2 linked regions of the Rattus norvegicus genome follow. Each later gene encodes a partner of the first gene's protein in a complex. Links are inferred from orthologs where the notes say so. Each region holds a gene or a part of one and is shown on either strand. Other genes may lie near its edges. The genes, in order: Actl7a and Tes.

Region 1 (3,332 bases):
TTAGTGTAGAGGTTCAGAGTGATAATTCTTTAACTGGAGTTCATCCAACACCAATTAACCAGGTCTAAAGACCTCTGCACTAAGTGTGGTGGACATGGGATCCAGTGGATCCAGCTGGAGTTAGATGGTCAAGCAGCCTCAGACACACGGTAGGTGTCAACATGTGTGTGCAAGACATTGAGGAAGGCTGTCTTCTTCTGGACATTGTCTGTACACCTGAGCCTTAATGTTCCCACTGTGGGACTGAGCGGCGTCTGATTCAGTGCACACTCTATGACTCTAATGAAGGATTGCAAGCCTATGTTCAAAAATAGTTCTTACGGTTATGTTCTCGTCACCTTAGTACCCAAAAGTGAGGCAGCAGGGCCTGTCAATTACTACAGCAACAGTAGACCCCGGTAAAAATTAACTCAGATGGTATCAACCTGTCCTAATTTCTCTAGTGCTTTCTAACCCTGCCCACCTAGAGTGAAGCCCTCACAATAGCCCACGCCTGACAGGACCTGTTTGTCCCCACCAGGCTTACTTTTCCCACCCACCCCATCTAAACTTTCACGTTCTTTCCTATGGTCACATCGGCCTTCTTGCAAATTCTCTCAGTTGGGGTCAGCAAACGTGTTCTCTCAGAGACCAGTCACATTTATTTTCATTCAGCTTTTGGGCCAGTCTTTGTGATGTTGATTCAACTGTTTGCCAGACTCCCAGGCAATCCATAAGGGACATGAGTATGGCTACTCCAATCGGTTTATACACCGCCATGGGCTGGAGCTGGCTGTGTCCTGCTTGCCCCTGCACTAACTCACCAGCCACGTGACTTAGTCCTCTGCACCTACTGCGTCCCTAACACATGTCACCTGGTCACCTTCAGCTCCCTACACAACTACTGCCAGCTCAGGGAGGCTTGCCTACACCACATCGGCTTGGCCCATCCCCTTTCTTTCTCTTCTCTGATTTTTCTCTAAAAACTTTTCTAAATTTTATTTTTTGTTCAACCAATAAATATGTTGTGCTCTCCCCGCCCCCACTCCACCCGACCCCCGTGCACACCAACTCGAATGCAGACCAGATAAGGGCAGGATTCTGTTGCTCCTCTTTTTACTGTGGTACTCCTAGGTGCTTTGCATATCACAGGCACTCAACCACTATGAACAAATCAATCTTTCCTACAAAATTGGGGAGTGGGACTTGAAAGACAGTATCTCTAATGTACCCTAGCACCACTCTCCAGGGTCTAGAAAGCCCTGGGTTGCTGAATTATGTCACAATCAGTGATGTCACTGTTGGGCAGATTCTCAAGCTGTCCTCTGATTTAAGCCTTTCAGGCCTTGTAGCCAGCAGGATCGAGAGCTTTCTGAGAGCAGTATGTCTCTGGATGCTGTGTGGGCTCCACAGACAGCAAACATCGGGGACGGGCCTGCCAAGAAAGCTAGTGACCAGACCTCCATGCAGACACAGGTCCTCCAGACTGCCTCCCTAAGAGATGGCCCAGCAAAGAGGGCAGTATGGGTCCGTCGGGACAATGCTGAGAAAGAAGAGCCTGTTAAGTCAGCTGTGTCCAAGGATAGGCCAAGGCTAGAGGTGACCAAAGCAGTGGTTGTGGACCTAGGTACTGGCTTCTGTAAATGTGGCTTTGCTGGCCTGCCAAAGCCCACTCATAAGATCTCAACAACAGTGGGCAAGCCCTACATGGAGACAGCCAAGACTGGGGATAATCGCAAAGAGACCTTTGTGGGGCGTGAGCTCTTTAACCCAGATATACATCTCAAACTGGTCAACCCCCTGCGTCATGGCATCATTGTGGACTGGGACACAGTACAGGACATCTGGGAATACCTCTTCCGACAGGAGATGAAGATCGCCCCAGAGGAACATGCGGTCCTGGTTTCAGACCCACCACTGAGTCCTCACACCAACAGAGAGAAGTACGCCGAGATGCTGTTTGAGACCTTCAACACGCCTGCAATGCACATCGCCTACCAGTCCCGCCTGTCCATGTACTCCTACGGACGCACCTCTGGCCTGGTGGTGGAGGTCGGACATGGTGTGTCCTATGTGGTCCCCATCTATGAGGGTTATCCTTTGCCCAGCATCACAGGGAGGCTAGACTACGCGGGATCTGACCTAACGAACTACCTGATGAACCTGATGAACAACTGTGGAAAACACTTCTCTGAGGACCACCTTAGTATTGTGGAAGACATCAAGACGAAATGCTGCTTTGTGGCCCTGGACCCCATTGAAGAGAAGAAAATCCCTCCCAGTGAACACGAGATCCATTATACTCTGCCTGATGGGAAAGAGATCCGTCTGGGTCAGGAGAGGTTCCTCTGCTCAGAGATGTTCTTCAAGCCATCTCTAATCAAGTCCATGCAGCTGGGCCTCCACACCCAAACCGTGTCCTGCCTTAACAAGTGTGACATTGCACTCAAACGAGACCTCATGGGGAACATCCTGCTCTGTGGGGGCAGCACTATGCTCAGGGGTTTCCCCAACCGTCTGCAGAAGGAACTGAGCAGCATGTGTCCCAACGACACCCCACAGGTAAATGTGCTGCCCGAGAGAGACACCGCAGTCTGGACTGGTGGTTCTATCCTGGCCTCGCTCCAGGGTTTTCAACCACTGTGGGTCCATCGCCTTGAATACGAGGAACATGGGCCTTTCTTCCTCTACAGAAGGTGCTTCTGAACAGGTGCAACACGTACGCTGTGGTGACCATGTGCTAGCTTTACCGTCCGAGGGCTGAACCTTTCACACGTGGTGTCAAGCTGGCATGTTCATTTCTGTAGCATTAAAAACCCCTTGTGTCTGTCCCCTTCCCTTCAGAGTGTGTCCGTATTTCCTGACATAGTAAGAGCCACATGGATGCGTGCATCGTCTTAAAAAGTGCGAAAGCCTGGGCGTGGAAGGGCTGTATGAAAGAATCACACGCACGAATGCTAACTGCTCAGAAAGTCTCTCCCAGGAGAAACTTGCTCTAACATTAGTCTGCCCGTTGTGCTTCCCACAACGTTGTTGTTAAAATATACTTAAGGAAAAATGTCATCAAAACAAATTAAGAGTAAATGATGTTGAAGGATAAAGAGGCTCTCCATCCACAGTACCCTGCGGAATGCTAAACGGGTTTATTCTCCGGCAAAAGCAGCACCGTATCTCAGCTAAGTATTCTTGCTAATTGAGGCATCAACACAGGATGTGACTTTTGTGCTTAAAAGCTCGCACTTTGGGACTACACTCAGGTCCTGAACACCCAGTTTAGTTGCCAGTTAATAAAGACTTTATGGCTTGAATCCATACCCGAGTGACCTTATATGGTGGACACATCATAATATTTC
Region 2 (3,825 bases), on another chromosome or scaffold:
GCATGAGTTATAATTCCCTGGGTACAAAACCTATATATTCTTTGGGTTTCAAAAAAATTAAATGAATGGCCTACTTTTATCTTCTGGACAAAAAAACAAAAAAAAAAAATCTCTAAGAGCAAAGTGCACATATTGTCCTAACCACATACATATAAAATATTCAAGGCCACAGATGGAGGTCGCTAGATGACAAAAGAGGATACTGAGAGGTAAAGTAACCAGAGAGAGATGCAGGAGGGAGAGGCCCCTCTGCCTCCATGGGGGATGCAAAGGCTTAGGCACTGGAACACCCAACGTGGACCACACTGCCTGCCACAAGGAACTCCTCACTGAGCTGACGTCACCATCATCAAACCGCTCGACAGGCGGTTGTAACTTCCTTTACATTTCCCATGGGGGACAAGCATGGAAGTTAAAATGTTCATCTCTCCCAGGACACTAATTTTAAGTGATTTTATATATATATATATATATAATATATCTAGCACTAGGAGTATGCGGTTATAAGGATTGATTAAATTCAAGCTTCCAACTCAAATATTTAATGTGCAGAAATAAAAGCTATAATTCTTTACTGTTTTTTTTAAATCATGCGCTTAAAGCAGTCATTTAAAAATAAGACAGACAAAATTCATAATGGTTAAAAAGAGAAAAATATTGGACAAAATCTTCCGGTTCGTTATGTAGCTTTTTTTTTTCCTTTTATTTTTTATTTTTTTTTTAAACTGCAGTTTATCATGAAATGCAGGCCACTGTAGACAGCTATGGCTCAATACTGCTTGGTGTTCACTCAGGACATCATCTTCTTACACTCCACAGAACAGAAAACCATCCCTTCCACAGGCATGAACTTCTGCCCGATCAGGCACTTGCTGCAGCAGGAGCAGAGGAAGCACTCCGTGGACGCGTGCCAGCTGAAGTTATTGTACGTCACTCGCTGCACTTCCGGGTCGATGGCATTGTGGCACCCTTGACACACCTGCTCGGGGATGAATGGAGAAGAGGGTTAGAGACAGCGACATCTTTGTGAGACACTGTGCCGACGGGGCCCTGTATGCTGAGTGTGCCGAGAAATGGCAGGTGACGGACAGGGTGGGAGTGCGGTCCGTAGATGTCCCTCAGGGTGTAAATAGGAAGTTATGATGGCAAATCCCAAAGCACCGCACTTGTTTCCAGTCAAATTTTAGTAGATTTCACCGAAACAATTAGAAGGAATCTCTAAGACTGTTTTCCCGCACTCATTAACGCTCTGAAGTGGTAACATCACTAGGATGTGTCATGCCTAGGACACTGACACAGGTGACTGTTAACACCCACCAATTTCAAGAGAGTAGTAAACTAAAGTCATGCTCAAAATAATTAAGGATTTGAATAAAAGTACAGACAGTATTTGAAAACGAATGAGGGGTTCACACCATAAATATAACGTGTAGTTAATCAGCTTCTGTTCTGTCCTAAGTTTAGTCATCGTTTATCTGTGATCTATGCCATGAACTTTAATACCTCCCTTCCCTGCAGCACCCTTTGTTTTGTTTTGTCTGGGAGAAGGTATTCGGCCGGACCTAACTTCGTGATACTTCTCCTCCCTCCGCCTCCCGAGGGCTGTGATACCGGGTGATTTAGGTAGTGCTGTGCAGGAAACCCAGGACACCATGCACATTGTGTCAGGACAGTACTGACGGAGGTGGTATATTCCTAGCCCACCATTCAGTATCCTGGGTATGTTATACTCCAATATACTAATGAGGTAAACATACGCGTAATATTCTTAACTGATGATACACATGAAGAGAACGAGAAGCAGCCATTAATATTACAACAGAAAACCACCTCACGGAAAGCTTCAACGCAGGAGAGTCATTTGCATTGTTTATATATGACCTGAATAAAATGAGAAACATCTAAGATCTTGGTTTTACAACAGCTGAGGGAATACCATGTGGCACTGATCAACCTTAAGTACCACTTGTCTCTTGGTTGGGGATTACTGCAGTGGGACGGCCATTGTTGGACAATGAGGTGACCTGCATCACACAGCCACTGCAGACCTGAAATATACTTTTTGTATATTTTACAGCTACGTACCTTCTTATTGTAGAGACTCTATCTACAGGTCTAACAACTACCTCCTGGCTGGGAAACAGACATTCTTTGCATAATGCAGATAGGTGTCCTGAATACAAATAATATTCAATGTGGAAGCTCTAAGTTCCCCCTGAATCTGCAGCCGCATCATGCAAATGGTTGCTTTTGCATGGAATTTCTGTAGTGCGATAGCTCACGTAGAATGTTCTGGTTTTCTGTACTTCGTATTAGTCTTCCGACACTTTAGAACTGTGTGACAGAGGACCCCTTTGCTTTCCTTTTTTACTTTCTGTTTTGTAACATTATTTGTGGATCATTTTATTATTAGATGAAACATGGCCTTTTCATTTTTAGTATAAGAAAGAAGACAAACCAGTTATTCAATTGCACGTGAAATTGAGGGGAGTCTTTAGGTCAGAAAGAATCACACGGATACACAAATGGCATGGTGTTGCATTTAGGGTTTATGGTTCCATACAGTTTAGCTTCACAACTGCAGTGGGTCACCATTCGTCTAGGAATCTTACATATGACTCCAGCTAACACCAGCAGATCCTTGCTTATCCACAAAGCTCAAAGCTACATGCCACAGAGGGCCTGCCTGGGGACTATACCTTTCATCGCAATGTGCCTGGCAGTGCACTGCCTGTGAAATAGTCCTCACACAGCTCAAAGAGCCAGTTCCTTCCATCCCTCCTGCTTTCTTTTATTTGAACACAGGATGTGAGGTAGATAATGCTGTGTCGTCATGGGCTCTCTGGCTGGAGGACCCTGAGAGCCTTACAGATGCGAATCCTGGGTGGCCAGTGGGAGTCTGGTGTGCACATGGGGACAAACTGGGTTTCTTCCCATCTCACTCCTCCTTCCGGGTGATTTTTACCTCATAAATGCCCTGATTAGATTGAGGACATTTCTCCGGGTCTAAACATGTTTTCTCTTTCACTTCTTTTATATATATCAAAATCTTTGCACAGATTAACACAGTGAATTAAATAATGTGCAGCCCATTGTTTCGGCACTGGTGAGATAAAGACAGCTCGTTTTAATATTAGGCAGTGCGTCAAGACGGAAGACGGGCACACAGCTAAGCTTATTTCTCTGTAGACGTACTGGACTCTTAGAACTATACACAGGTACTGTTTTCCCCCTCTCCTAGGAGTTTCCCCTATGCGATAGCTTAGGGAACTTTAAACTAAGAAAACGCTGGAGCCCATCCTTCTGATATTATCAGCCAGGAAGGCTTATAAGCTGACTATATATGGTCATCTTTTCACCGTGTATCTACGTTACCATCTCTTGGCCAGCATGCAGCAGCAGGCGCTCTGTGGAACACAATGGATGTCATAAAAATATGCTCTCACATTAAGCACCTGAATGTCCCACACGGCAACCTAAATATACAGGCCAATTTCCTCTGTATTCGATCAGTTCCACAAATGTTTGGAAACAGTCACTCAGCAATCTCTAGATAGCAAGTCAAGGGCCTCATGGGTGGATTAGCAGCATGTAGTGAAACCATTTTTTTTAAAAGATCTATTTATTTTAGTATTTACATGTATGGGTGTTTTGCCTGCATACATGGCCATGTAACATGTGTGTCCCTGGTGCCTGAAGAGGCCAAAAGACCCCGTAGGAATGGAGGTACGGATGACTGTGAGCTGCCACGTAGGTGCTTAGAATAGAACCCAGGCCCCCCGGAAGTGCAACAAGCTCTCTTAACTGATGAGCCAATGGTAAGGC

What was found.
Region 2: the proteins of Actl7a (region 1) and Tes are in contact, whole or in part, in a crystal structure (PDB 2XQN), measured with the Homo sapiens proteins. The link is inferred for Rattus norvegicus from reciprocal best matches to the Homo sapiens genes ACTL7A and TES. Residues at the interface, in NP_006678.1 of Homo sapiens: Leu28, Gln29, Thr30, Ala31, Ser32, Leu33, Arg34, Asp35, Gly36, Pro37, Ala38, Lys39, Arg40, Ala41, Val42, Trp43, Val44, Arg45, His46; in NP_056456.1 of Homo sapiens: Asn311, Glu312, Tyr313, Thr314, Gln315, Ala316, Glu317, Leu323, Phe326, Leu335, Ala336, Gly337, Glu338, Ile339, Tyr340, Val341, Tyr353, Pro370, Glu371, Val372, Gln373, Arg374, Val375, Thr376, Tyr377, Ala384, Phe389, Leu398, Ile399, Gly400.

What each region holds. Positions count from the first base shown.
Region 1 is NC_086023.1:76,242,826-76,246,157, forward strand, and holds Actl7a (actin-like protein 7A), read left to right. Parts: upstream 1-1,346; 5' UTR 1,347-1,362; coding exon 1,363-2,685; 3' UTR 2,686-2,822; downstream 2,823-3,332. UniProt on the Homo sapiens protein: Essential for normal spermatogenesis and male fertility. Required for normal sperm head morphology, acroplaxome formation, acrosome attachment, and acrosome granule stability.
Region 2 is NC_086022.1:46,365,712-46,369,536, reverse strand, and holds part of Tes (testin), read right to left. Parts: intron 980-3,825; coding exon 791-979; 3' UTR 1-790. UniProt on the Homo sapiens protein: Scaffold protein that may play a role in cell adhesion, cell spreading and in the reorganization of the actin cytoskeleton. Plays a role in the regulation of cell proliferation. May act as a tumor suppressor. Inhibits tumor cell growth.